7 linked regions of the Macaca fascicularis genome follow. The protein of the gene in region 7 interacts with the protein of the main gene of each other region in a pairwise test. Links are inferred from orthologs where the notes say so. Each region holds a gene or a part of one and is shown on either strand. Other genes may lie near its edges.

Region 1 (4,241 bases), on a different chromosome or scaffold from region 7:
CAAGGCTACTTCTTGAATAAAAGGATCATTTGTTCGCTCCAGTATGTTGAGGACCTTTTGAAGATCGGGAGCACTCAGAATATCATCAATTTTATAAGGAAAGTTGAACTTGCCTCGGCGGACAGGCCATGTTGTAGCTGGAGCCCTGGTGCTCTTACTTCGGGCCTTTCCCTTGGATTTTCCACTTGCCCTGCTCCCAGCCCTAGATCCACTCCTGGTAGGGTGGCAGCCTCCACCCCTGCCTCCTGGGCAGGGTAAACTCGGTGCAAGGGTCCTGTTCCCAGAGATGGTACCCACCCTAGCCCCTTTGCCTGCCTTTGCACTTGCCTGTTCCTTCAGCGTGTTGAAAAGGGCCTTGGCCTTGGCCTCTAGGCCACCTCCACTGTGGGATCCTGAATGGGCCTTCTCTTTTACACCTGGACAATCCTCGAGTCCCAAACTCACCTCAGGCTTGACCTTTGAATCACCCTGAAGTTTGGCCCCAGACCCTGCCCCAACGTTAGTTTTAGCTCCTTTCACAGTCTCAACCCCAGTCTCTGAGGTGTCCGTAGACTCCTCGTCTTCATCCCAGATTTTCTCGTTCTCGTCTCTTCCCCAGGCCAGTCTGTATACACAGTAGCAGGCACCAGCCCCGATAACCACACCAGCGGCCACGCAGCCAGCTTCCCGAGTGCGGCCCATGGTATAGCCGGGACAAATCTCTTAACCGGAGCACAGAACAGGCTCGCTCTGGCCCAGAGAAGCGCGAACACGTCGCGGGCGGAGTCTGCAGCTACTGCTGGCCGGCTCTGAGGCAGCTTGACCTAGGAAAAAAGGATGCAGTTCAGATTTCAGGCTCCTCCTCCTTTTGTGTCTTTGCCACGCAAACAGACTGAAACAACGGCAAGACAAACAAACGTACAAAAATACAGATATATTGGCAAACTCGGGGCTTAATATCTAGATCACTGATTCCTTTCTTCCATCCGGAAGCTAAGTTTGGAAATTTTCCCCACTTCAAGACTCTCCAACCTCACGTTCCACCACGTCGCCCCAGAATGTTAAAGTTCCCTGCCATCCTGCCCTTCAGATGTCCTGGGAACAGTGGCGCCCCCACATGCACCCACAGAGGTCCAGGCAGTTTTTTCCTTCTCTTTCTTGCTTCCAAGGGCACTGCTTCGTGCAAACCTGCAGACAAGGACGCGAGGAGGGGGTGCCGAGAGCTAGGGGGACATACAGATATCACCCAGGACGGGACATACATCCCTCTTCTGAATTCCTAGCCCTTTACAACTGCCTTGCCCGATGTTTCCCGCCTTCGGTTGCCCTCCACTCCTCACCGAGGTGCGGCTTTGGAATTCATTGTCTCCCTCCCTCTTCCTCCTTCGATGATTCCTCTAACCCTCCATTCCACCTCCACCCCTACTCTTATCATTGGCATCCTCCGAAGATGTCGCCACACATTTTCATTGTTAACATTTTCCTTGTAACAAAATGAAGTGAGAATATCTAAAAGCCGGACTGGCGTGAAATGCGTAAAGGTCTCCAACTCTGTCCTTGCCTCCGCCAACTCCTCCATCTCAAAGGTACCAGGACACCCCCACTCACCTCCCACCCCCGCCGTGTCGTTATACCAACTACCTCTGCTCGGGAGCAATTTCTTACCTCCCTTACCTCAGTTTCTGCTTCCACTAAACCTTCAAGACTAACAAACTTCAGAAGTGAGTGCTTGGTCGACGGACCAACACCAAGGACACTGTACCTCAAACAGTAATTTGGAGTAACGTCCTCCCAACCCCTGGACTCTCTTGACGCCCACCCCTTCTCAGCTATTTGCTTCCCTGTCTTGTACCTGCAGAGCAATTTATTTTGCAAGATCCGAAATTGTGTAGGGAAGAAGGGAAGAAGGGAGATGTGGAGGGGGTCCACGGGCCCACTCGAGTTGCAGTCGCCACCATGCTCCACCCCCAAATAATGCCATCACCCTTATTATGACCTACTTGGTTCTTGACAACTTTGCGTTTCTTCCTGCTCCAAGGGTTGGACTGGCCTCTGGCCCCAAGATCTGCAGACACAAGCAACAAGGCAGAAACTGATGGCTCAGCGGACAGAAAAGCACTTCGGAGAGTCCCAACATCCGCTTTTCCTAATTCAGGGTCCTGGCTGTCAACGGAGTTTACCTTTTTGTCTGTCACCCTACCCTCACTTCTCTGGACTCGGCTGACACCAGCCCTCCCGCTACGTAGTGTTCCCCCACCCCCGGTCCCCGCCTCCGGCCCTCCCTCCCGCAGCCCCAGCGGTCGGCCATTTTCCCAGCAAAAACCACACCCCTTTCAAACCACTGGAAGCGGGGCGGGGCGGGGCGAGGGGGGAATATGGAAAACACGAGGAGGAAAACAAAACCAACCGATCTCTTCTATCCCTCTCCCCAATGCACCCTACCCGCAATGACAAGCACTTTTCCTGCAGGCACTGTTACATCCTTTTTTCCTAAAGGAAAAAAAATGGCAGGAAGATTGCTTGAGAGTCGGTAAAGGGCCCAAGTTAAGGCAAGGACCTCAGTCATCCCAGTCCTTCCGGGGGCCGCGGGACAGCCCCAGCTTTACACTGACCTGCAGGGATTCCAGGCAGACTATTCCTTTGTTCCCAAATGGCACAGCGCCCTACTGAAAGAAAAGGGGAATGACTGTCAGACAGACGCACAGCCCCAAGATTCTGGCTTGGTAGATGGACCAGCACACAGGATACGAATCCGAATATCTGCCCTCCCTGATTCAAGGCCCTGGATGTTAAAGGTCCCACCACGCCCGAGTCTGGGGTCGCCCCTGGAATCCGGCCCCAAGGTCCACCATTTTTGTTCTAGAAAGGGACAGGAATACTGCAAGGGTTTGGAGAAAGCGAACTGCTCCCCCTTCGGCCTCCACCCTTCACTGCCCGCGCCGCAGGGATCCCCTGGCAACGCCCATCCACACACAAACCTGCTGGGATCCAGGCAGTAACCTCGTCCTCCTTCCCCCAGGCCACAGGCCCTCTCGCCCTCTGGGCAATAGGGAGAGTGCAACCGGACCAAACGAAGACTAAGATTAGAAGGACGTCTGCACGCGTCGGCTCCAGCTCACGTGAGGGCCACGTCAACCGTGAGATCAGGACCCCAATTACCACTCCCATCAGCAGTGCCGCAGAAGCCGGCCCTCCCCTTCCTTCCCTGACACATCAGGTCCTGCCACTCATTTTCCTCTTTGCCAATCCCGGAGACCAGAAGTAGCTTCCGTTTGTGGTTGGAATTTGCCTTTCTTTGGCTTACAGGGAGAGGCTGTATCTGCTCCCGTGTCCGTTGGCCTTTTCTTCCTCTTCGAGGAATAATTTTTTATCTTCTCTCGTCTCAGTCCAACTGTCTCTCTCTATACCTCCCCCCACCACCAGTCATGAATGTCCAATATTTCTTCTGCACCACTGTAAAATGTGGAGCAAGGTGTTGGAAAAGGAGACAGATCGTGGGAGTGTCTTATTTAAACTTTTCTGCTCATTTGTTTTTAAATCAGTAATGCATTACTTTTATATTGAGGAAATAAAATGATGCTATCTTCCTTTGAGTGGAGAGTTTAAACGGGAGAGAAAACCCAAAAGGCCTCATTAATTTCGTTATTTTATTTGTAACAGAAGGAAAATATTTCTACTGGTTACAGCCAAATAGTAGCTTTTAAAACAAAATAACTCATTTTTAAAATTGAAAAGCGGGCTGAGGTGGGTGGATTGCTGGAGCCCAGGAGTTTAAGGCTGCAGTGAGCTATGATCTCACCACTGCACTCCAGCCTGGGTGACAGAGAGCAAGCCTCTATCTCTTAAGAAAAAAAAAAAAATGGCCGGGCGCGGTGGCTCAAGCCTGTAATCCCAGCACTTTGGGAGGCCGAGATGGGCGGATCACAAGGTCAGGAGATCGAGACCATCCTGGCTAACATGGTGAAACCCCGTCTCTACTAAAAATACAAAAAACTAGCCGGGCGAGGTGGCGGGCGCCTGTAGTCCCAGCTACTCCGGAGGCTGAGGCAGGAGAATGGCGTGAACCCGGGAGGCGGAGCTTGCAGTGAGCTGAGACCCGGCCACTGCACTCCAGCCTGGGCGACAGAGCGAGACTCCGTCTCAAAAAAAAAAAAAAAAAAAAAAAAAAAAAAAAAAAAAAAGAAAAAAAAAAAATGGATTTTTTACATGATCTATGAATTAGTCCACAAAGAGACAACCAGTTGTCTAATCTTGGCCGTTTT
Region 2 (4,488 bases), on a different chromosome or scaffold from region 7:
ACCTGAGGTCAGGAGTTCTAGACCACCCTGGCCAACATGGTGAAACCCATCTCTGCTAAAAATACAAAAATTAGCTGGGCGTGGTGGCACGTGCCTGTAATCCCAGCTAATCAGGCAGCTGAAGCAGTAGAGTCGCTTGAACTTGGGAGGCGGAGGTTGCAGTGTGCTGACATCACCCCACTGCACTCCAGCCTGGGCAACAAGAGCAAAACTCAACTCAAAAAAATCTCAAAAAAAAAATCAACCAACCAAAAAACAACTAAAATGCTTATCAGTTTACCTAAAGGTTAACTGTTCATTATGGATTCACAAACCAACAACCTATACATTTATTCCTAATATTACCGTTTATATAGAGTACTGAAATTTTGAAACAGAACTTATAAGCAACTTTTTCCCAATGGAAACCTAGAATAAATGTATGTTTCCTTTATTCATTTTCCTTTAGTTCTTTCTTCATAGTTTATGTCATATCTGGGCCTCATCAAAGGTTACCTTCTAATCTTAATACATTTTATGAATCCTAAATTTTAGCATTCCAACAAAAAGAATCATAGTGATAACTACAGATCTGTGTAAACACAAAATCTGAAGAAATAAGACATTCTTAAGACAAGTGTAAAAGGAAAAATAGGTTTGTTATGTGCCAACCACTGCTGAAGCTGAGTACTGTAAATTACAAAAACTCTTAAGAAACTAATGGCCTCAAGTGTGACAACTAATCTAGGCCTTGCAAGCCTCCAGACTATATGTAAAATATACCATCCTAAAGGAAAAGGATTACTGCGCTTAACTACTCCTACTCCGCCTCTGCCAACCTATGATGTCATTTACACAAGAGGTTTTCTTGTGCACTTGTTAACAAAGAACTGGCCTGACAATCTTTACACAGTAATAGTTGGCAGTTGTTAGTGGCCTAATGACTTGTTTGCCAAAGGCCTACCAAGGAGCTAAGACATTCATTTTTCGGAGCTGAACTTTGGAGAAACTTTCACATCAAAACCCTAAAGAACTTTAGTCTGTCTTCAGTGTCAATGCTTTCAATCATCCTTGTCCCATCTCCTGTGACCTCTGCCCTATTTCCAAATTAAATAGCCCCATACAATTATTAACTACAGAATGACATTAGAGGAAAAATTAACATATTAAAATTTCATACTACGGTAACAATGTAGAAAGTTAGTTCTACTACATAGCATTGCCAAGAAAGATGAACATAATTTAGTCACAGTTCACTGTTTCGTATGCCATACTTTACAATTAATTTTTAATCTCCTTCAACTAGGAGTGCTATTTTCTCAGACCTTTCAATGCCAGAGATCAGACCTTAAAACACCCTCACATTTTGGTCTCAAATGATCACTCAACTCTAGTTATGTTTTACATTACAAAAAAACAGTATCTCACTATTCTTGGGATTACCAAAGATCAATTTTCTTCAAGATAGACCTTAATTGCAGAAGTATGAATCTAATACTGGTCAATTTTTATCTTTTTTATAAGCTTGTTTTTATAATACTTTGATATAAAAACAAAAAGCTGATACTTTTTCCTAGGCTGTTATCCCATAAAACCTAGCAAGAGTGCGATTTGTCTTTCGGAGCACTTATCTGACTCAACCAAAGTCGGCTAGGTCTGCTAGATTAAACAAAATTGATCATTCCGATTTATTAAAAAAAAAAAAAAAAGCTCAACTATTTCTTTCTACAATCATCCATTTACCATTTGTAATTGTTAACATGAAAAGTCATTCACCACTCAAAAAGTGGTGGGTGAAAGTTTGAGGTGTACATAATATTTGTAGCTGTTTGGTGCTTTTTCCTTCTCCCAGGGGGAAACAACACGGTTCAAGGACTGGTTATGTTTCTATAAAACTAAGTATCTTTACTAAAGCATAATACGGCTTGTCTCACAGCTCAATGTCCCCAGCTGAACTTTATATAAGCATTACATATTTTCTGAATGGCAAATTTGGGGTTAATCCAAAACACCAATATCCGTAATTGCACACACAGAAACGCAGACAAACGTGCACTGAAATTGCTCCCCGGACGTTCCTCCGTTGCCGCAGGTGGGGGAGTGTCCAGGGCTGAGGCTGGGCGCCTCCCGTCTCCCGGCGCCAAAGACCGGGGTGGGGGCGATCCCGGAACGCACGCGAAGCTGCGCAGTCTTCCTCCACTGGGTTATCTGAACCGGCAAACCCCGCCGGGGATTGCTGGGGACACCGCTGCTCCCTTTCAATTCTGCACCCTGCCACTTCCCTAAACTCTCTGCACAGCCCGGCCCGAAGAAGCGGAAGGAGGGGTGCCGGAGGGGGTCACTCACCGCGATCACGACCGTGTCTTCTCCCTGAAACTTGGCGACGTACTTGTCGCCGCGGTTCACCTCAGACTCGTTGAGAGGTCTGAAGCGACACATCACTTTGATGTTGCACTCGGCCAGGTCCGCCATCTTTCTCGCAGCCGGGGCCGGCGGCCGGGAGCCACTCCCGGCTGCTTAGTCTTGCGGGGAGCGCGACGGGGCTAAGGGCCTGGGGTCGCTAGGGCCGTGAGAGGCAGCAGTCAGCTGCGCAGCGCAGCGCTTCCCCGGGCGGAGGCGGCCGGGGAGCCGGGACTCGAAGAGCCGGCGCCGGCAGCCGTTACCCTAAGGCTCACTTCCGATCCATCATGGCAGCCATGGCGGCGGCGGCACCGGGGAGAGCGTCGGCGGCTCCTCAGCGACGCCCTCGACGGCCTGGGCGTGCTGCGGAGGCTGGGGAGGTTCTGGGGGCCGGGAGAGTGGCCACCTTCTTCCTCCTCGCAAAGAGCAGATCGGGCCTACCCGTCCGCCCGCTCCGCTCCGCTGTCCGCTGGCCGGCTGGCCGGCTGCTGCCCTATCACTCTTGAGGCCGCCGTTGGGCGACTGGGCGGCGCGGGTGGAGGAGTGCGCCGGCGCGGTGGGCCGGGAGGCACGGCGACCAATCCGTGCCCGAGCTCGCAGCCGGTCGCTGCTGCCGCGCCGCCGGTTCCGCCACCACTCCTGGCCAGGAGTCGCAGATTCAAATTTTACAGCACTGACCGTCTCGCAGAAGTGCCTGGGGACGCAGGGCGGCAGCTCCCAGTCGCCATCCCCAGCCGCCGAAGAATCCCCCAGAGCTAAGGCAGACGTACTTAGCTTTCTTTTCTTTGGGGGAGAAAGGGTTTGCTTTAACTACTTAATGTGGTTTGTTTAAATAAATCACTAGGCTGGTCCGGGTGCGGTGGTGTTTGCAACTAGTTGATGACAGCCAGAGATTTGTTTCTTCTCCACTCCCGCTGTGTCACTTGACCAGCTTTAAAATTAAAAACATAAAGTACTATATTCCTAAAAGGAAGTGTTGCTTTCATTTTTTTCTGGCGGCGGGAATCATTCCTGGTCTACCTTTTTAGAGCGCATTGCCAGAAAAAGTAAGATTTCAATGAAGGGTAACTCTTTCCTGAGAGTGGGATGTAGGGAGACAGGAATAAGAAAGAAAAAGGAAAATTTTCCTGAGGAATGAAGAAGGTTGCTGAAGAAATGTGGAACAGCAGGGTGAGGAGGGGGAAGCGCCCTCAGCCCCCCTCACACAGCATCTCTGTCACTTCATCTGCCCAGTGCCTTGTATCCAGCCCGCACCCTCGCCGCCCCCACGCAGTTCAGCGAATTCCCGCCACTTCGCCGGCAATGAACATACGGAACTCATCAATCCCAATACTGGAGGAATGACTGACCTGGAGCATAAAGATGGTCTTTATAAAAGGCCTAGGTAAATTTGTGCATTACATATCCAAGGAAAACCACTCCATAGCTGATTTTGCCTTCTAGTTTTAGAAGATGAGTACCAAAAAATTCCACGGGGAAGTGGATCTGAGGAAGTGGCTCTGAGGTGCTGCGGAAGAACTGCAGTAACACCTCCTCCCCCGGTCCCCAATTTCTGTTTGTAAAACGAAGGATTGAACTATGAAAACCTCCAGGGCTCCCTGTGCTCACCCAATCATCCTAATACCTCCAGAAACCAATTCAGAGTTCAACAGATTCAGGTTTATTAATCCACTGCCTTGAAGAAGAGCTCAAGCTCAAGGAACCTTAGAGCATCTCACCAAACAAAAGAATAGATGGAATTAACCCGGGGCTTTCTGGGAGGTGTGGAGTTCTGATAACATTTCAATGAAGCAGTGTTTTGAGAGGCCCCAAGCAAGGCAGAGCTGCAAGTAAAGGCATTAACATCAGATCTGGCCAGGGGTGGTGGCTCACGCCTGTAATCCCAGCACTTTGGGAGGCTGAGGCAGGCGGGTTACCTGAGGTCGGGAGTTTGAGAGCAGCCTGACCAACATGGAGAAACCCTGTCTCTACTAAAAATACAAAAGCAGCTGGGCATGATGGTGCATGCCTGTAATCCCAGCTATTCGGGAGGCTGAGGCAGGAGAATCACTTGAACCCGGGAGGCTGAGGTTGCACTCCAGCCTGGGCAAGGAGAGCGAAACTACATCT
Region 3 (3,629 bases), on a different chromosome or scaffold from region 7:
AGCTGTTATGTGACAAGGCAAGGGGTTACTAGAAAAATAGATTATACCCAAGGCTCTCCTCTTGGGGACCCAAACCCGTCCCCAGGCTCCCCCTCAGGGCTTGCCAAATGGAATGAAAGGCATGGAAAGGGGCTGGGAGAAAAGCCAGCTCCACTGAACAAGGGAAAGGAGCCTGGCAGTGAACAGACCTGGGAGGGGTGGGGGTGGGATGAGCTTTGCTCCTCAGTTGAGTGCTGGAAAGGGGACGGGGGAAGAAATAATTTATTGGGCGATGTAATGGTGCGTGGTTTCAATCATGGCGACCATTCCAGATCTCTCTCAAGTGAAGCTAAATTCTGGCCGGTCTATGGAGGTAGAAATTGAGGATGGAAGGAAAGTTTAGAATCCCTCCTCCCCCAGAGAATAGACATTTATTACCCAGCTCTACCCTCTGGCCCAGCCTGCCTCCCCAAATGGCTTCCAAATCCCTCAGCTAAAATTTGCATCAGAAGATGGAATTGGAATGGGGATGTTGTCTTGCCCAAACCCTCCAGCCTCAGAACTGACAGAGGCTGAAGAGCAGGGGTGGGGAAAAGGAACTTAAGGAATGAAATTACAATTTCCCCTCATCCCCTACTCAAATTCCGGTCCCAGGGCTGGGCTAGGCAGACTGGGAGAGAAGACCAGGCAGCTGTTCTCATTATCAGGGACCCATGCAGACCTGCTGGACAGACATAGGAGGTGAGAGAAGGCCGGGCTGGAGGCCAGGAGGGTTCTTTAGGCTCCTAGAGGGAGAAGCAGGGGCCTGGGGTCAAGGGGGAGTGGGAAGCAACACAGTGACAAACAGTGGGAAGAGCCTTTGAGCCCCTCAAACTTACGGGCCACCCTCCACCACCCGCCCCCCAAGTGCTGACCAGAGGGGCCCCCGCGGGTGGCAGGATAATCAAGGGCAGAGCTTGATGCGGGTGCCCTTGGAGAGCACCCGGAAGAAAGGAAAGACACGCTCGCCCAGGAAGGCAGCCGAGAAGGTGTGCACGTGGGCCAGAGTGTCTGCGTTGTAGAAGCCCAGGCGCCCCGCTTCATAGTCCAGGTACACGCCAAAGCGCCGTGGCTTCTCACTGGGGCTCAGCAGCGTCTGTTCTGTCGAGCTCTGGGCCTGGTAGCGTTTGCCGTTGGTGCCCACGCACCACACCTCCCGCTGGAGCAGAGGCTGCTGGGGCAGGTGGAGCCGGCGGCGGCGATGGTGGTGGCGTGAGGAGCTGGCATCCCCGCTGCCCACGGAGGAACCCCCAGGGCCCACCTTTTCCTTATGATGGGTGGATTCACGGGCAGCGCCCACCGCCCAGCCCCGCCGCCCACCCACCTCTACCTCCCAGTAGTGCCGGCCAGAGCGGAAGCCCTGGGCCCCCAGTACGCAGCAGTCGGCCGAGAAGCGCTTGGGATGGTCAGCAACCTCCTGCCGCCGCTCTGCCAGGCGGACCCCCCGGCGGTCAGGGGACAGCATCAGGGCCGGGTGAGCCGTGTCAGGGTCCAGCGTCAGGTCCACTTGGGAGGAGGGAGGACAAATACGCCAGGGCTGGAACGGCTGTTCCCCTGTCAGCAGCCAACTCCACAGACTGGGCCTTTCCTGCCCGCTTCCTCCCTGAATTCAGCTCCCCACACCATCCCAGAGGCCAGCCTCAGCTTCCTACAGGCTCCCTCTCTCTCCTCTTGTTCCTCAGACACCTGACAGGTCTTCCCCCAGCCTGGCTCTTCTTGCCACTCTACCCCACCCCCACCCTCCAGGCCTGCCTGGACTAGGACTACCTGTTAATGGCTTGAAACCTCAACCTGAGTGGCTGCCTGTATCCTGCTCCATCTCAACCCCTACACTTTCCCTGGGACCCAACTTCCCTCAGGACCCAGTCTCAGGTCTGTGAAGGGAAAGGCAAAGGAAGGTCGTGGAGGTGACCTCCCTACCTCTCGCAGCCTGACAGAACATCCGGCTCATTTTCCTCACGATGGCATCTGTCAGGAAGTCATGGCTATGGGGTTGGCACGGGTCAGGGGACCAGACCTCTGGGGGCTGCAGCTGTACCTCTTCACACCTGGAGGAAGGGGACCGGGCAGGGGGTGGGACCATGATATTCCCAGAGGGAAGAGCAAAAGCTGAGGGGAAGGAGAGGAGGGTCCAGGAGATGGAAACTCAGGTCCTGGGGAAGAAGGAGAGGAGAGGGATACCCAAGAGAAGCAGGGACGGGAACCAGATGCCACTGGGTCACAAAGGGCAAAGAGCGGGAACACACCTATTGAAAGTCTCCTTGATGTCCTGGGAATAAGAGAAACAAAAAGAGGGAGAGGGAGAAAGAGATAAAGAGCGTCAGCTGCACAGGCACAGCTTTCCCGATCTCCAGTCAGAGACTGAGCCTAAGCAGGAAGGGAGAGGCAGCACGCTCACGGCCTCAGTGAACACACATCCACTTCAACCACCCCATGCCTCGCCATGCCTAACTCGCCTCTCCTGCTGTGAGCCCACCAATCCTGTCATTTCCACAATATGACCTGCTCACCTTTTTCAGGATGTCACTGTCAAAAAGCCTTTCCTCAACTGTCATTTAAACCTCTCCTACAACCGAATCTTCATGCTTTTCACTGGTATAATCGTCACACATACCACATTCGACATTAACTGTTTCCAGCTTTAAAACATGTTTTTGGTCTTCAGGTTCAATCACTGTGGGTTCCTCCCAGTGAGAAGAGGCAGCTCTGGACAGGTGTTTGGTAAGCACTGCCTGACAGCCAACACGGAGTGCTGGGGGAACAGGGAGGGGACATTGCTCACCTGAAGCAGCCGGAGACCCCCCTGCTGGCTCCGCTCCTGGGCCTCGGCCAGCAGGCGGCTGAGCTGGGCAGCCTGCTCTGCAAGGCGACTGGCCGCAGCTCCCGCACGCCCCAGCTGGGCTTCATGCATCTCTCGGAGACGCCGTTCCAGCCCTGCCTGCTCTTCAGCCAGAAACCGTGTCAGCCGCCCAAACTCGGAGGCCACCGCTGCCAGCTCTGACTTCATCTGGCTCTGGAATGGTGCAAAGGGGATGACAGATACCACCTCAACACACAGGAAGATAACCTCCAGTTTTGCAACTACCACTTCTCAACGCAAGGCAAAGGAGCCCTATACTCCCCAAGTCCAAGAAAGTCCTGGAAAGAGGCTCATCTCCTACCGGCCTTACTTCTCAGCCTTACCAGATACCACCCCTTGCACCCAGCACAGTGGCCCCAAACTCACTAACCTCTGCCTGGAACACTCCTCTCCACCTGGTCTACATACCTTGACTCATCCTTCAGGTCCAACCTTAAATATTCCAAAAGAAGCCTTCCCTCCTCTCCAGATCTAAATCAGGACCATCCCCACAAATTCCCTGTATCTCTTTGTGGCACATACGACACTGAAATGTTGTGTTTAAATGACATATCTTTTAACATCTTTCCCCCACTGTACCATAAGCTCCGGTTGGCAGGGACTAGGAATGTCTTTGTTTGCCACAGTGTCCTCGGACCTTGACATAGCGCCAACCAGAAGAGGCACTTGGTAAAAATTTTTTGAAATGAATAAATAAAAGAATACAAGAATCAAGACATAAAGTTAGGGTCCCGAAACCATTAAACACAGT
Region 4 (4,154 bases), about 26 Mb from region 7:
AAAATAGCCCCTGGGGGCTGGGCATGGTGGCTCAAACCTATAATTCTAGCACTTTGGGAGGCCAGGGTGGGTGGATCGCTTGAGCCCAGGAGTCTGAGACCAGCCTGGGCAACATAGCAAAACCTTGTCTCCACTAAATGTAAAAATAAAAATTTTAATAGCCCCTGGAGTTCCTGGTTACTTTACTGGACACTGAAGGTTTAGACAACTGGACTTTAATACTCCACTGACACCCCAGAGTGAACACTTCCCTGGAAACACAGGTAGCACTGACCCAAGGCTCAGCATTGTGGCCCAAAGCCCACACTGCCAGGCTTCAAGCCCACACTGCCGGGCTTCAGAAACACCTAAGGTTGGGCCTCAGCTCTAGCACACGGGCCACAGGTTTCTCATTCTGTCCGCAGAGGCCAGCTGAAGGTCAAGGTCCACAGTGGGTGGAACCTGTTGACAAGATGTCCACAAACCCATCTCCAACCACAGTACTCACAGGACAGTGAGGAAGAAGAATCTAACCCAAAGCAGACTCTCACTTCCTGATTGCCAGAGGTGTGCCAAGGCCAGGCACTATGTGGGTCTGAGATGGATCCCCCAGCCCCTACCTCACCCAGAAGTGGGACGTGCAAGACCCCTCCCCCAACGCGGGAATGGCAGACAGGAAAATAGAAAAACAGAAAGTTTACCTGTTGTGGACTTTTAGATAATATTTGCTGAGGAACTTTTTATGACATGTGGGGCATTCGACCGGCACCGCTGTACCTTTTCTGTTCTCAGCAGGCTCAGCTGCTAGGGAGCCCGCACTCAGGGCTGGCTCAGCTGCACAGGCCTTTCGGATTACATTTGACTTCCTCCTGGTCAGCACAGCCTCAGGCTCAGACATGTAATCACCATCCCCGTCGTCCTCCACTTGAACCACCACTTCCCACTAGAGCACAATAGGCAGCAGGAGGGGGTGGGGTCACCAAATGAATCAGCAGGAGTTGTAGGGACCCAGCTCCAGTTCCATCCCAAGCCCCAACCCTGACAAGTCCCTTCATCAGACACTGTTCCTTCAGGGGCCCAAGGCAGAGCATCTGAGTCTTGGATTCAGAGGAAAGTGACTGTATTTGTGGGGAACTGGAAGCTCGGATGGAAACACTATCCTGGGGAAACACCTGTAACCCTGATGCTGCCCACTCTCCTCTCAGGAAGGTGGCAACCATGAATAGCTGGGGCTTGCAGAAAGGTCAGCCTGAGATCACCAGCTTCCTTTGTTTGGAGAAAGCCCGTTCCAAACCCACATTAACAGAGATTGTCTTAAGGTCCACTTTTTTTTTTTTTGAGACAGGGTCTTGCTCTGTCGCCTAGGCTACAGCGTAGTGGCACCATCTCAGCTCATTGCAACCTCCACTTCCTGGGCTCAAGTGATCCTCCCACCTCACCCTCCCAAGTAGCTAGGATTACAGGTGTGTGCCACCACACTCGGCTAATTTTTGTATTTTCTTTGTACAGATGAGGCCTCGCCATGTTGCCCAGGCTGGTCTCGAACTCCCAAGCTCAAGTGATCCACACCCACCCTGGCCTCCCAAAGTGCTAGGATTACAAATAGACTTCGTCCATCCCTGTCGTCCTCCACTTGAACCACTCACGTGAATGAGCCATCACACCCAGCCCAGGGTCCCTATTATACCAAAAAAAGTGTCTATTCCCTCCATTTGTCTCCCCAGTCCCAGCACCCTGGGCACAGTACCTCATTACTCCCGCCCTGCAGCTGGCCACCTTCAGCCTCGAAGGGCCTTGGAGGCATTTTGCAGTCCTCAGGTTCCTTGTCCTCGGGGGAACAAGGCTTCAAGGCCTGCTTGAGTTTCCCACAGAGGGAGGAGGGACTCTCTCTCTGAGCTGGGGAATGGAGCTGGGGCCTCTGAGGACTATGACTGCCTCTGGGCTCCTGATCTCTGGGGACTAGACCCAGAGTCCTCGAAACTTCCTCTTCTTGCAAGCCTGCCGGCTCCTTGAGGAGGCTGTTCACATTCTGGGAGGCAGGGGGCCCCAGCCCACTCTGGCCACCTGCTGCCTGTCCCACTGAAGTTTTGGGCTTGAAGCTCTGGCACAGCTCTACGGCCTCTGGCACTCGCAACTCCCTGGCTGCCAGGAGCACCTGATCCCGGTTCCCTGAGGTGAGAGCGAGGTGACCAGTGTAGAAAAAGTCCAACAAGAGGCCAAAGATCTCAGCGAAGCCAGCAGGGAGGACGACACTACCTCCTGAGCCATCCCCGTAGAGGCTCTGGAAGAAGTGGCTGCAGCAGGCAAGGACACTCCAGTGCGCCTTAAACACCAGGCCCCCAACGTCCAGAGTGGCGTCGCAGTACTGGCCCTTCTCCCGCTGCTTGTTGAGCTCCTGCAGAACCCTCACACTGTGCTGGACGAAGGAGCCGTCCATGGTCTGGAGGGCAGGGAGGCAGAAGTGACACCCTGGCCAGCCCAAGCGAGCGTATGCAAGAGAAAGCCCCTGGAGTCGAAGAGAGAGAAAGGGGAAGTTGGCCTCCACTCAAATAATCACATTTATCAGCACGAGGGCTTGGGTCAAGGTGAGGGGTGCACGCGGAAGGCAGGAACATACTTGACAGCCTCCCGGGGACCGGGGGCCATATTGGGTTGGCCAGGGGGGATGCTGATGGGGGGGTCAGGGTCATGAAGAAGGGCCTGGTGGGAAAAATCCAAGTTTGGGGAAAGAAGGCACGGGATGAGCGCGAACTGACTGGCCTGGCACAGTGAGAGGATCCTGGACTGGGGAGGACGGCGGCCGCGGACAGGTAAGCGGAGCCCACGCCGCGCCCACAGGTCCCGAGCGGCCGAGCGGAAGGCAGCCACGGCGGCCCGCAGCCCCTCCCTCCCTCACCTCGTGCCCTCCTCACCCAGGCAGGTCCTCCCTGAGCTGGCCCCACCAGCCCCCGGCTCCGTCGCCTCCACAGCCCACGAACCAACTGCCCGGCTATGCGTGCCCCGCCGACCGTGCGGAGACGCAGCCGTCTCCGCGCCGGACGTGACGTCAGAGCGTGCCGGCCAGGAGGGGCGCCTCGGAAGCGTAGATCTTCTAGCTCCGGCACCCGAGGGCGGGGCCCCGCAGAGAACGGCCAATGGGATGAGGGGATGAGGCCACGCCCTGTTCTTTTGGCGCTGGGCCCGCCTCCGGGGTTGCCTAGCAACGTCAAGCTGGGCACCAAGCCTTTTCCAGGTTCTGGGTTCAGACTTGAATCCGCGGCACCTCACCCTCTTCCCCGACAGGAGACCAGATACGCATTTCACTTCTTTATTGGCAGCCCGGAGCCTGGTCTGGGCTCTCCCGGGCGCTTACACGTCCCAACCCCAGACTGAGGTGCCCAAAGGCCTCCCAAACAGCCCTGGCCTGCTTGACCTTCGACCCTCAGGACAGAGAAAGCTACCAGCTATGCCTGCTGACCCCACTGGTCAGGTGGAGCCGCGGTGCCTCGTGTAGTCCTGAATGGAGGCCTGGAAGTGCTCTGTGCTGTTGAGGTCTGGGCGGCAGAGGATCACGTAGCACTTGGGCAGAAAATACCCGCCGAAGCCGCTGCTCAGGCTGCTCAGCCCAGCCAGCATGTTGACCGCGGGCAGATACTTGCCGTCGTAGACACTAGCCGTGGTGAAGAAGGCGATCCAGGACATGAAGTTGAAGAGCAGGCTGAAGGTGACACATTTGGCCTCGTTGTAGTTCTCTGGCAAGTCCTTGCCCAGGTAGCTGCAGGCAAAGGCACTGATGGAGAGAAGGCCATTGTAGAGAAAGGCCAGTATGAAGCCCAGGGAGTTGGCCTCTGTGCACTCAAGCATCACCAGATGGGGGAAGCGCTGGTATTCCCTAGTGGGCAGTGGAGTCCACACCACCAGCCAAGTTAGACAGATAAGCAGCTGAGCCGCTGAGCTGATCATCACAAACAGGCCAGCACCATGGTTTTGGACCCAGACGCGGTAGAAGGTAGGTGCCTTGGCGGAAAACTTGAAGATGATGATTAGTTGGAAGGAGCGAACTGTCAGGCAGGACAGGAAGATGGTGAAACCAAGGGCAAAGAGGGCCTGGCGCAGCAAGCATGCAGGCCTCGTGGGCTCCCCAAAGAAGCCATAGAGGCTGCCGCTACCTGCTGCCAGGGAGCCCAGCATAAGAA
Region 5 (3,711 bases), on a different chromosome or scaffold from region 7:
TGGGATTACTTACTATACACATACTTCCCATTTGCAAGTCACCTTTACTGCCTTGTGGATCTAGTCCAGTGAATGATTTTGTAAACAGTTTTACTACAATATAGCCATGCCCATTTGTTTATGTATTGTCTAGGCTACTTCTGAGCTACAATAGCAAAACTCTGTAATAAAGACCAATTAATGTGCAAACTCTAAAAAATTTACTATTTGGCACTTCATAGGAAAAGTATGTGGGCGCTTCCTTAGACTCCTAATGTTTACCTTTTTATCTCTCCAATTAAACCACACTCCCCCAAAGGGGTGGTATTTTATATATGCCCTTCAGTATTGGTCCTTCAAGAACTTATCTGAAGAAACCTTGCAAGCAAGTAATGATTTTTAAAAGCCCAACTGTTGGACGCGGTGGCTCACACCTGTAATCCCAGCACTTTGGGAGGCCGAGGCAGGCGGATCACCTGAGGTCAGGAGTTCAAGACCAGCCTGGCCAACATGGTGAAACCCCCATCTCTACCAAAAATTAGCTGAGTGTGGCAGCGGGTGCCCACAATCCCAGCTACTTGGGAGGCTGAGGCAGGAGAATCACTTGAACCCAGGTGGTGGAAGTTTCAGTGAGCTGAGATTATGCCACTGCACTCCAGTCTGGGTGACACAAACTCCATCCACCCCCCCCACCAAAAAAAAAAAAAAAAAGAAATCCTAGAAGTATTGGTAGGGTGTGCTGGACTATGTCACAGGGTGCACCGTGCAGTATGAACAAAGAAAGCAAAAAAGAACTTGGGAGAAAAACACTGGGTAAAGGAAATACAAAAATACTTACCAGTGCAAACAAGATTGCGGCATAAGCCATTTCGGAAATCATGAAATACACGATTTCGATGTTCCTAGGAGAAAGCAATTTATTCCATTTGATTAGCACTCATATACAGCCCCAAATTTCCCATGATTATTTCTCCTAGTCGATCGGTTCTACCCAAAACCTGTTTATAAGTGATCCATGACATTAAGCTGCTTTCAAAACCAAATATGAGTTAAGTTATTGATCTCTTCATCTACAGAAACTGTTTACTTACGAAATTTCATAATGTAGTTAACAAAAAGTCATTTTGTTAAGTTTTAAATTATTTTTTGCTAAATCAAATTCTGAAATTTAGACATTGCATCTTTCTCTAAAGGCAAACAGTAAAGAAAAAAGAAAAATCAGCTAGCTGAGGGGCCATATTTAAAAATCCAGAGCAATGCTGTCCAGTAGAAATTTCTGTAATAAAGGAAATGTTTGTGTCTGTACTTCCACTTCCAATACAGTATCCAGCAGCAACAGGTGCCTAACTGAGCACTTGAAACGTGGCTGTGATTGAGAAACTGACTTTTTATTTTAATTTTTTTTTTTTTTTTTTTGAGACAGAGTCTCGCTCTGTCGCCCAGGCTGGAGTGCAGTGGCGCTATCTCGGCTCACTGCAAGCTCCGCCTCCCGGGTTTACGCCATTCTCCTGCCTCAGCCTCCCGAGTAGCTGGGACTACAGGCGCCCACCACCTCGCCCGGCTAATTTTTTTGTATTTTTAGTAGAGACGGGGTTTCATTGTGTTAGCCAGGATGGTCTCGATCTTCTGACCTCGTGATCCGCCCGTCTCGGCCTCCCAAAGTGCTGGGATTACAGGCTTGAGCCACCACGCCCGGCCTTATTTTAATTTTAACTGATTTAAATGGCCACATGTGGCTAGTGGTTACTGGATTAAACAGAGAATTAAACATGGGAATGAAAGGAAGAATACAATTTTACATTTGTATTATGCCTGACAGCTTACAAATTTAAACATTTACCTTAATTTTCCTAACTACCTTGTAAGTTATGAATATGTACTATTATCTCTATTTTATTGCTAGAAAATGAACCTTAGGTAGGTCAAAATGAAAGGTCCTTTGGCTACTAAGGAACAGTTTATTCTTAAACTCAGGACATTTAAAAGAACATTAAAACAAAATAAAATCAGAGATTTCTTGTTAAATTTGTGCAAGTTCTAGTTTTATACTCACCTGCCTCATTTTAGCATGAATATAGAAGCAAGAATAACCCAGTTGAGAAATCTTCTTGGCTAGTAATTCAACTCGCTGAGAGGAGTTACAGAAAATGATCGACTGGTTTATCTGAAGCTGAGCACAGAAAAAATAAGTATGAGAAAAATTAAAACCTTCATTTGGCTTGCCAAATCTTGAAAACACTAACCAGCAAACAAGAAACATTAACATGGTCTAAAATTTAGAATCTTATGATATGAGAGAGATGGTAAATTCTAAGTACTTTAATAGATGGAATATAATAATATCTAAGATTTATTGTATTAGAGTATATTTCTTAAGGGCCACATAACTGTCAACAAGAGTAATACAATTGATTATCTGATTCCAAGTAGTTATGTTTTGTTTTTCCATTTAAGAATACGTGTGTGTGTGTGTGTGTGTGTGTGTGTGTGTGTGTGTGTGAGAGAGAGAGAGAGAGAGAGAGAGAGAGAGAGAGAGAGAGAGAGAGAGAAATGGAGTTTCACTCTTGTTGCCCAGGCTGGAGTGCAATGGTACAATCTTAGCTCACTGCAACCTCCACCTCCTGGGTTCAAGGGATTCTCCAGCCTCAGCCTCCTGAGGAGCTGGGATTACAGGCACCCACCACCATGCCTGGCTAATTTTTGTATTTTCAGTAGAGACGGGGTTTCAGCATGTTGGTCAGGCTGGTCTCGAACTCCTGACCTCAGGTGTCTGCCCACCTCAGCTTTCCAAAGTGCTGGGATTACAGGTGTGAGCCACCGTGCCCAGCCAAGAACATCTTTAATATACTCACAACCAATGCCACTAGCACTGGGCAGCACTTCAGCACCATGAGTAGGGGTCAATTAAAACCGTGAAATCAGCAACAAAAATTTGAAAAATATGGCACAGTGAAAAGGATACTTGTTCACAGTATGAGAGCTAAACAAGAGGACAGAGCATTGTCTTCTTCAACCTCAGCTGGGTATGTGCGTGTCAGGTGACTTAAACTCTTTGCCACACTGTACACGTCCACAAATGACTGCTAAACTGCCTTGAGTATTAATTCTGGAGTTACAAATAAATTCTAGTGACTAAGCAAACTCACAAATACAGAATATGTGAATAATGAGTATTAACCCTAGTAAAGGTCTAAGTATTTCAGAAACTATTCAAAAGTGTATCTGTGACTTGTTAATCATTTAGTATCAACTTTAGGTCAACAATTAAAACTGCCTTTTAGGAAACACTATGAATTTTTTAAAAACTTTTTTTTTCCTTCCCGAGATGGAGTCTTGCTCTGTCGCCCAGAGCTGGAGTGCAATGGCGTGATCTTGGCTCACTGCAACTTCTGCCTCCTGGGTTCAAGCAATTCTCCTGCCTCAGCCTCCCAAGTAGCTGGGATTATGGGCACGCACCACCACGCCCAGCTAGTTTTTTTGTTTTTTTGTAGTAGAGACGGGGTTTCTCCATGTTGGCCAGGCTGGTCTCGAACTCCTGACCTCGTGATCCGCCTGCCTCAGCCTCCCAAAATGCTGGGATTACAGGCATGAGCTACCACGCCAAGCCAGAAACACTATGAACTTTTATACAGTGAAGATGGTAGGAAAACTGATGAAATAATCTGTTTTACTGGGACTCGAGAGATAATATTCAACAGCAGAAGCCTACTTCTTACCCTGGAGAAAAGTGTG
Region 6 (3,711 bases), on a different chromosome or scaffold from region 7:
TGGTTCAAACAAATTTTTTTTTTTTTTTTTTGAGACAGTGTCTCCCTGTTGCCCAGGCTGGAGTGCAGTGGTGTGATCTCAGCTCATTGCAACCTCCACCTCCTGGGTTCAAGCAGTTCTCCCACCTCAGCTTCCCAAGTAGCTGTGCCTACAGGCATGCGCCACCACGCCCAGCTAATTTTTGCATTTTTAGTAAAGATGGCGTTTTACCACGTTGGCCAGGCTGGTCTCGAACTGCTGACCTCAAGGTGATCCACCCACCTTGGCCTCCCAAAGTGCTGGGATTACAGTGAGAGCCACCGTGCCCAGCCAAGTTTGTCATTTTGAAAACATATCCTTGTTAGATTATAAAAGTAACTTATACATTATAGGAATTGTGAAAAATAAGACGGGCACAGAGACAGCACCCTCAGTCACAACTCCCCCATCCACCTCCGGTCTCAGTGAGATGAGCTACACACACGTGAAGCAGCAGAACCACACATGCCTCCCGCCTGTCCACGCGGGCAGCGCCCCAGAGTCGGCGTGCCTTCATGCCTTCCACCTCCCGCCTTCCCTTTTAAGAGACACTCGTTTGGGCCAGGTGTGGTGCTCACACCTATAATCTCCGGACTTTGGGAGGCCAAGGTAGGTGGATCACTTGAGGTCAGGAGTTAAGAGATTGGCTTGGCCAACATGGTGAAACCCTGTCTCTGCCAAAAATTACAAAAATTAGCAGGTGTGGTTGCAGGTGCCTATAATCCCAGCTACTCGGGAGGCTGAGGCAGAAGAGTCACTTGAACCCGGGAGGCGGAAGTTGTGGTGAGCCAAGATGGTGCCACTGCACTCCAGCCTGGGCAACAGAGCAAGACTTCATCTCAGAAAAAATTAAAAACTAAAGTGACCAATTTGCAAAGGGACACCAAGATTGCTTGGCTCTCGGTTTTGACAAACTGCCTAGATCCTGGGGAAGTCAGGAATTCCTCCCATCACAGGGAAGGGCAGATTCACACTGATGCCCTACTCTAGCCTTCATCCACCTACATGACTGTGAGTACCCGAGGCCCCATCAGCCACCTGCACGCGATCCCCAACTCCTGGGGTGGGGATGGGTATCAGGAAGATGGGAAAGCAGGTCACGTGCCCCTGGCTGTCACCACGCGGGTGACGCTGACGACGGCAGTACCTGTGTGGATGAGCTTCACGTGCCGCTGCAGGTAGCGGTCGATCATGAAAACCTTGTTGCAGCCAGGGTGGGGGCAGGGCCGCTCCCGGACCTCCTCGTGGTGCTCCTTGATGTGCTTCTGCAGGAGAAACTCAGTGAGAGACCCGCAGAGCCTCACCCGGGCCGAGCGGCACGGACCCTCGGCGGGTGGCAGCTGACGCCCCTGGAAGGAAGGCAGATCCAGCTCCTCCAGCTCCACCACTGGTTCCTCCACAGCTTCACTCCAAGACACTTCTAGACCCCCAGGGGGTGTCTCAAGTGAAAGTCTGGCCCCACATCTACCCCAGGTCCCCAGTCACCTTGGGCACAAGTCTGCGTCAGGCTCTGCGGAAACACCTGGTGCCGGCCCCAGGCTCACAGGGACAGCTGCGGGGCCTGGTCCGGCACAGCCCGTGCTCACCTTCATGCCGTCAGCACCTCGGTACACGGCTGTGCAGCCCTGGTAAGGACACTTGTAGATGGTGGGAAGCTCCTCCCTGCAACAAAGAGCACGCATGGAGCCCGGCCCCGACAGGCAGGGCGAGCCTCGAGCTCCAGGCCTCACCTCTCACAACGAAGCTTCTTCTTCCATCCCGGCTTGGGTCCTGGCTTCTTCCGAATTCTTGGTTCTTCAGACTTCTTGGCTTCCTTGCTTTCACTCTTCTTACCAGAGACCCTGAAAAAAAGAGGTTCCCAGATTCAGTGGTTTCTGATCTCCATCTGAAAAAGATTTCTTGTCTTTAACAGGAGACATGTTTTTGAAGCTTCCCTGAGTTGCTTCTGTGCTGACTGACCCTCAAAATCTACCTGAAGCCACCACAGCCAGAGCAACTCTGGACAGGAGGCCTCAGGTGAACACAACAGAGGGCGAGGGCGCAGGGCACAGCAGGGTCAGAGGCAAACACAGCAGAGGGCAAGGCGCAGGCACAGCAGGGGTGAGTTCTGAGAACTGAAGCTTCATCCTGTGCTACACATGAAACCCAACACTGGAGATATCAGGAAAGATGGCAGAACAAAGGGGCTACCCCTTCATCAAAATGACCTTAAACGCTAGGAAAACGCTCAGAATCCACTCGCTGAAACCAGGACAGCTTGATTCCAAGCTCAAGCCCCAGCCCGGGCTTTGGAGGAACAGGTGCTGTTTCCCCCGGAAGCACAAGGTGAGCAGCTGCCACTCCCGCATTCCTCAGCCCTGCCCCCGCTGCAGGGAGCCCAGCCTGTGTTCCTGGAGCTGCTGACTGGGACCATGGTGGGCAGGAGACCTTGTCCTCCAGAACTTTGGGGTTGCGCATTTTAGTTGGTCTGGCAAGTCCCTGAGGGACCAGCAAATGCAGCAGCGTCCAGTGTATGTCTATTGTGGTTCCTTTTTGGATCCAGTAAGGATAGGGAAGGAAATCCCTCAGGAGAAGAAGGGAACTTCACCACGATAAAGCTTCGACGTGAAACCCACAGCACATGCCACACTCGATCGTGAAAGACTGAAAGCTCTTCCTCCAGGATGAGGAAAAGACACGGGTTCTCTCACCACTGTTCTCAGCACAGCACTGGAGGCCCTGGCCAGAGTAACTGGGCAAGGAAAACAAAAATTCTCCCTGTTCACAAATGACATGACCTTGTATGTAGAAAACCCTAAAGCTCCACATACACAAAAACCCGAATAAATGATTTCAGCAAAGCTGCAGAGTGTAAAATCCATACACAAAACCCATTTATGTTTCTTTGTATTATCAATGAACAATCCAAAAAGGAAATTAAAAGAAAAATCCATATGCAAAAGCATGAAAAAAGTAATTTAAGCTGCCGAGTCCAGTGGCTCACACTGGCAATCCCAGCACTCTGGGAGGCTGAGGTGAGAGGCTCGCTTGAGCGCACAAGGCTGCCATCAGCCATGATCGTACCAATGCACCCCAGCCTGGGCAAGAGCATGAGACCCTGTCGCTAACTGCCCTTCTCTTTAAAGAGTGCACTGAGGCTGGGCGCAGGGGCTCACGCCTGTAATCCCATCGCTAACTGCCCTTCTCTTTAACGAGTGCACTGAGGCTGGGCGCAGGGGCTCACGTCTGTAATCCCATCGCTAACTGCCCTTCTCTTTAGAGTGCACTGAGGCTGGGCGCGGGGCTCACGTCTGTAATCCCATCGCTAACTGCCCTTCTCTTTAACGAGTGCACTGAGGCTGGGCGCGGGGCTCACGCCTGTGATCCCATCGCTAACTGCCCTTCTCTTTAACGAGTGCACTGAGGCTGGGCGCAGGGGCTCACGTCTGTAATCCCATCGCTAACTGCCCTTCTCTTTAGAGTGCACTGAGGCTGGGCGCGGGGCTCACGCCTGTAATCCCATCGCTAACTGCCCTTCTCTTTAACGAGTGCACTGAGGCTGGGCGCAGGGGCTCACGTCTGTAATCCCATCGCTAACTGCCCTTCTCTTTAACGAGTGCACTGAGGCTGGGCGCGGGGCTCACGCCTGTGATCCCATCGCTAACTGCCCTTCTCTTTAACGAGTGCACTGAGGCTGGGCGCAGGGGCTCACGT
Region 7 (4,356 bases):
GCTGGGACTACTGGCGCCCGCCACTGCGCCCGGCTAATTTTTTTCTATTTTTAGTAGAGACGGGGTTTCACCATGGTCTCGATCTCCTGACCTTGTGATCCGCCCGCCTCGGCCTTCCAAAGTGCTGGGATTACAGGCGTGAGCCACCGCGCCCGGCCAAGCAGTCAGAGTTTAAGAGACTAGCACTGGTTAATGATGGAGCCCCAACATAGAGAAACAAGCTCCCAAAGCTAGCAGAATGAAGATGAGGGACAAAACTGTCATTACCTCTTCCTTGCAACAAAGTTTTTTGTTTGTTTGTTTGTTTGTTTGAGATGGAGTCTTGCTCTGTCACCCATGCTGGAGTGCGGTGGCACGATCTCGGCTCACTGCAACCTCCACCTCCTGGATTCAAGCCATTCTCCTGGTTCAGCTGCCCCAGTAGCTCGGATTACAGGCACGCACCACTATGCCCAGCTACTTTTTATATTTAGTAGAAACAGGGTTGCACCATGTTGGCCAGGCTGGTCTCGAACTCCTGACCTCGTGATCCGCCTGCCTTGGCCTACCAAAGTGCTGAGATTACAGGCGAGAGCCACCGCGCCCGGCCACAACGAAGAGTTTATCACCAACCTGATGTGCTCTCTTGAGGAATAAGTTTGTGGAACTCTTTTGCATTAATCTTTAATTAAGGCTAAAATCAAACCTTTGGCTATAACCATGTCCAGGTCTTTCTGGGGGAATTCTCAATGGGGGGCGCTAGCAGAGTAATCTGAGTACATCCAATATACCTGATACCTAATGGTTTTCAAATATGTTTCTACTTACCTGTTCAGAAGGCAAGGAAACACAACTAAATAGCAAAGCACCTCTGCAGTGACACAGAAGTGACATTAAGAGACAATTGTGAAGATCTTGCATCCTCAAAATGCATAATTATTCCTGAAATCAAAGTTACAGACTGTCCAATATGACTGATTATGAACAGGAGAGGAATCCATTAAAAGCTAAACCCAAGTTTTGATAATTTGAACCTTTTTCCTCCAGTTTTACTATAACACAGTACTTTTCAGTACCTGACCCCAGCATAAGGAACTAGGAAACTAATTTATAGAAGTAATGCTTCTATAGTAACAGTGAAAATCCACTGATTTACTATTTTAGCAAATGTATAATCTGATATCTGTACTCTAAATATTAGAGATGTAAATTTGTCAGAGGAAGCTTGGTATACAATGAATGCTTGTATTGGAAAAGACGGAACTTGCTGTTTTTACTAATTTTGTATTTCTCTGGACTTAAACTAGGAATTATGTTCTCTTAGCTTCTCTGGGTTTTCCTCTTCAAATGAAATGCTTCTGACCTGTAGAGGTTTAGAAAAGGTTATCCTCAACTAAAATAACTGCTTCAATACAAGGGAAAATTCTGTGGAAATCTTTTGCATTTGACGTTGCTAAACTTAAGTACAATAATGTCACATGTACTTATACAGTAATTGTGGGCACGCCTAAGTCCCTCCCTCTTTCCTAAACCAAATTCCCCAGATCCTAGAAATCCAGCCCTTCTGCCCTCCGGAGGCGCCTTTCCCAACGTAAAGTACAATTTTAAATTTCAGCTCCTGACTAAAATCATGATCCGCAGTCAACTGCTAGAGAATCTGGGCACCCCGGTGCCTCTGGAGCGTGCAGCGGGTGTGGGCAAGGGCAGGGGGAGTGGGCGAAGCTGCTGGTTGGTGCCTGAAATCTGTGCGTTGCCCCTTTAATTGTGTCCCCAGCCCTCGGGCGTTTCTGTCCAACGCCCACGTCAGCAAATACCTTTTGTTTCTCTCACGTTGGGGCTACTTGTTTTAGGGCGCAAAGGAACGGCCTCGAAAGGGGGTCCTTCCCCAGCCGAGAACCAAGAATCTTCCCCCGGCCCGCGCGCGCGACCGGCCGGTGCGCCGCGGCCCGCGGTAAGTGGCGGCGCGCGGCGCCGGCGGAGGGCGGGCGGGCGTCGGGGCTGCCCGGGACCCGCCGCGAGCCTGGCCGCGGGCGGAGGCGCCGCGGGCTCTCACGGCCCGGGCGGCGGCGGTGCTGAGATGCGGGCCCTGGGCGCGCCTCCCCAAGACGTCCCCGGGCCGGGAGCGCGGCGGGAGGCGCCGAGGCGAGCGGGCGCCATTTGCAGCCCGGGGCGCAGCGGCGGCGGCGGCGGCGGCGCCGGCTCCGAGGGGCTGTGGGCGGCCACGGAGGACGCGCGGGCGGCGGCGGCGGGCCGAGCCCGGGGCGGCGGCGGGCGTTGGTGGGCACCGGCTCCCGGCCGCCCCTCCCCGCGCCCGGCCGCGCCGCCCAGCCCGCCAGGCCGGCCCCTCCTGCGCGCCCGGGAGGGGCTGCGGGACAATGGCCGCGCCGTCGCCGCCCGCGCCCGCCTAGCCGCCCGGCCCGGCCCGGGGAAAGGCGGGAAGGCGCGCGGAGCCTCCTGGCGGCGGCGGCGGGAAGGCGGCGGGGACGGCGCCGGGCGTGTCTGGAGCCGTCGAGCGCCGCGGACTCCGGAGGGGCTCGGGCTGCGCGGCGCAAAAACGGGCGGCCGCCGGGGGGGCGCGCGAGGAGGGCAGGGCCGGGGCCGGAGCCGGAGCCTCTGCGGGCGCGGCCAGGGGCGCTGCCGGTGAGCCTGGCTCCCAGGGCAGTAGCCCGAATTTCTCGGTACAGCCTCCATCCTTGGTTTTATGTCAAGATGCGACATCGGGGCTTAGAAAACCGAGGGCTAACTCACCGCGCCTAACCAATGTTGAGCTCCAACTATTTGCTTCTGGACGGAACCGTACATGCTCATCTCTACCCATGCTGACCGCCTCTTTTGTGAGTTAGTCAGCGGCTTGTTCCCTTCCCCTTCAGATGCGCTTATTTATCGCTGATTGTTCCAATGGCCCTACTCCACATCATTCTGAGACGCGTTTGGAAGCGGTAGATTTACACACACACCTGGTGGGCTTCTAACCACACGTCAGTATCACTATGCTTGATAAACCTTTATATTTGCACAACTTTAAATGGATTGCTTTCACCTATATGAATTATTTCACTTAATTTCACATAAAACAACCACTTAGGCTGACGGTAATTCCACTTTGCAAATGAGGGAACACGTGTGAAGCATGGCGTTTCACCTCTAGGCCAGGGTGACATAGCCACCCAGGACCTCCTGTTCCCGTCCTGCCTTCCCTCCTAAGGTACCTCCAGAGGAGTCTTTAGAAGGGCCAATCTTACACAGCGCTTCCCTGCACTGAAAACCTTAACTGATCTTTTTCAGGAAAGCCTCCAAAATCCCCAGCAAGCTTCTGCTCCAGTCTTAATCTCCTCCATGCCTCAGGTATGGATGCATTTGTGGACTGGAGCAAGAGCCCCTCACTGATAAGCAGGGATCAGATGTCTTTATTCCTGGGAACCTCTCTGGCCACACAAGTGGCAACTGGGAAGTGAGAATCTGGCTTAGGGCCCTTGACCAAATGGGTGTCTGGGTGGATTGTGCTCAAAAATGTCAGCAGGAGGCATAATGAGTAGGGACTCCAGGAAGGAGGCCAAGCCACTAACCCTTATCTCCAAGCCCTGAAATCACCAGCTTTGCTGTTGATAATGATTTGAGGCCATGAAAAACTTTGTAAGATAGAGTAATATTGATTCATCCTGTATCATTTAAATATAATTTTTAGATACAACTATGTCTAATAGATTTAACTCAGTGACACAATGATATGTTAATCATATTTAAAGGATTTGATGTGTTTGATTCCCTTGAATGAAGCTTTTGTTACTTTTGTGCTCAAAATTGGTCAGTGGTTCCCCATCTTACGCAGTTTAAAAGCCAAAAGCTCCATAATAGTCTATGCAGCCTTACAGCATCTGGTCTCACTATGTCCTACTTCTCTCATGATTTGCTTTCCCTTTCTGACTTCATATCCCATTGCTTCCCCGCTGCTCACCTCAGGGCCTTTGCGCTTGCTTTTCCCTTTGCCTGAAATACTGTTTCCCCAGACACCCACATGACTCTTACTTCCTTTGGACTTTACCCAAATACCATCTTCTCAATGAGGCTTTCCCCAACTATAGTTTTGATTCTCTTAAGTGTTTTTATTCTAAATCTTTTCTGTCTCATGCCATTTGTGCAGCTATAAAAATACTTTGGGACTGGGTAATTACACAGAACAGAAATTTATTTCTCACACTTCTGGAGGCTGGGAAGTCCAGGCAGTTTGGTGCCTAGTGAGGGCTGCTCTTTGCTTCCAAGATGGCACCGCGTTGCTGCATCCTCTGGATGGGAGGACTGCTGTGTCTTCACGTGGCAGAAGGGATAGAAGGGCAAGAGGGGCCAAACTCACTCCGTCAGGTCCTTTTATAAGGGCGT

Evidence for each region.
Region 1: the proteins of ZBTB8A (region 7) and ARMCX1 interact in binary tests that used the Homo sapiens proteins (3 or more experiments, as listed by UniProt). The two-hybrid records come from large-scale screens. The link is inferred for Macaca fascicularis from reciprocal best matches to the Homo sapiens genes ZBTB8A and ARMCX1.
Region 2: the proteins of ZBTB8A (region 7) and KIF5B interact in binary tests that used the Homo sapiens proteins (3 or more experiments, as listed by UniProt). The two-hybrid records come from large-scale screens. The link is inferred for Macaca fascicularis from reciprocal best matches to the Homo sapiens genes ZBTB8A and KIF5B.
Region 3: the proteins of ZBTB8A (region 7) and TRIM41 interact in binary tests that used the Homo sapiens proteins (3 or more experiments, as listed by UniProt). The two-hybrid records come from large-scale screens. The link is inferred for Macaca fascicularis from reciprocal best matches to the Homo sapiens genes ZBTB8A and TRIM41.
Region 4: the proteins of ZBTB8A (region 7) and ZBTB48 interact in binary tests that used the Homo sapiens proteins (3 or more experiments, as listed by UniProt). The two-hybrid records come from large-scale screens. The link is inferred for Macaca fascicularis from reciprocal best matches to the Homo sapiens genes ZBTB8A and ZBTB48.
Region 5: the proteins of ZBTB8A (region 7) and DDX6 interact in binary tests that used the Homo sapiens proteins (3 or more experiments, as listed by UniProt). The two-hybrid records come from large-scale screens. The link is inferred for Macaca fascicularis from reciprocal best matches to the Homo sapiens genes ZBTB8A and DDX6.
Region 6: the proteins of ZBTB8A (region 7) and ZNF276 interact in binary tests that used the Homo sapiens proteins (3 or more experiments, as listed by UniProt). The two-hybrid records come from large-scale screens. The link is inferred for Macaca fascicularis from reciprocal best matches to the Homo sapiens genes ZBTB8A and ZNF276.

The regions. Positions count from the first base shown.
Region 1 is NC_088395.1:108,200,930-108,205,170, reverse strand, and holds the start of ARMCX1 (armadillo repeat-containing X-linked protein 1), read right to left. Parts: upstream 2,958-4,241; intron 2,646-2,957; 5' UTR 2,643-2,645; coding exon of another isoform or gene 2,592-2,642; intron 2,470-2,591; coding exon of another isoform or gene 2,422-2,469; intron 2,045-2,421; coding exon of another isoform or gene 1,980-2,044; intron 804-1,979; coding exon of another isoform or gene 682-803; coding exon 1-681. UniProt on the Homo sapiens protein: Regulates mitochondrial transport during axon regeneration. Increases the proportion of motile mitochondria by recruiting stationary mitochondria into the motile pool. Enhances mitochondria movement and neurite growth in both adult axons and embryonic neurons.
Region 2 is NC_088383.1:32,780,807-32,785,294, forward strand, and holds the start of KIF5B (kinesin-1 heavy chain), read right to left. Parts: upstream 2,904-4,488; 5' UTR 2,452-2,903; coding exon 2,326-2,451; intron 1-2,325. UniProt on the Homo sapiens protein: Microtubule-dependent motor required for normal distribution of mitochondria and lysosomes. Can induce formation of neurite-like membrane protrusions in non-neuronal cells in a ZFYVE27-dependent manner.
Region 3 is NC_088380.1:188,328,776-188,332,404, reverse strand, and holds the end of TRIM41 (E3 ubiquitin-protein ligase TRIM41), read right to left. Parts: intron 3,032-3,629; coding exon 2,801-3,031; intron 2,288-2,800; coding exon 2,265-2,287; intron 2,067-2,264; coding exon 1,939-2,066; intron 1,525-1,938; coding exon 923-1,524; 3' UTR 765-922; downstream 1-764.
Region 4 is NC_088375.1:228,293,086-228,297,239, forward strand, and holds the start of ZBTB48 (zinc finger and BTB domain-containing protein 48), read right to left. Parts: upstream 2,999-4,154; 5' UTR 2,892-2,998; exon of another isoform or gene 2,876-2,891; intron 2,486-2,875; 5' UTR 2,417-2,485; coding exon 1,727-2,416; intron 923-1,726; coding exon 681-922; intron 1-680. Other genes in the region: TAS1R1 (taste receptor type 1 member 1), read right to left, coding at 3,445-4,154. UniProt on the Homo sapiens protein: Plays a critical role in transcriptional regulation and chromatin remodeling. Acts as a regulator of telomere length. Directly binds the telomeric double-stranded 5'-TTAGGG-3' repeat.
Region 5 is NC_088388.1:117,619,167-117,622,877, forward strand, and holds part of DDX6 (probable ATP-dependent RNA helicase DDX6), read right to left. Parts: coding exon 3,696-3,711; intron 2,150-3,695; coding exon 2,033-2,149; intron 882-2,032; coding exon 818-881; intron 1-817.
Region 6 is NC_088394.1:85,668,119-85,671,829, reverse strand, and holds part of ZNF276 (zinc finger protein 276), read right to left. Parts: intron 1,860-3,711; coding exon 1,749-1,859; intron 1,681-1,748; coding exon 1,605-1,680; intron 1,284-1,604; coding exon 1,166-1,283; intron 1-1,165. UniProt on the Homo sapiens protein: May be involved in transcriptional regulation.
Region 7 is NC_088375.1:202,482,183-202,486,538, reverse strand, and holds the start of ZBTB8A (zinc finger and BTB domain-containing protein 8A), read left to right. Parts: upstream 1-1,498; 5' UTR 1,499-1,570; intron 1,571-1,798; exon of another isoform or gene 1,799-1,829; 5' UTR 1,830-1,930; intron 1,931-2,458; exon of another isoform or gene 2,459-2,813; intron 2,814-4,356. UniProt on the Homo sapiens protein: May be involved in transcriptional regulation.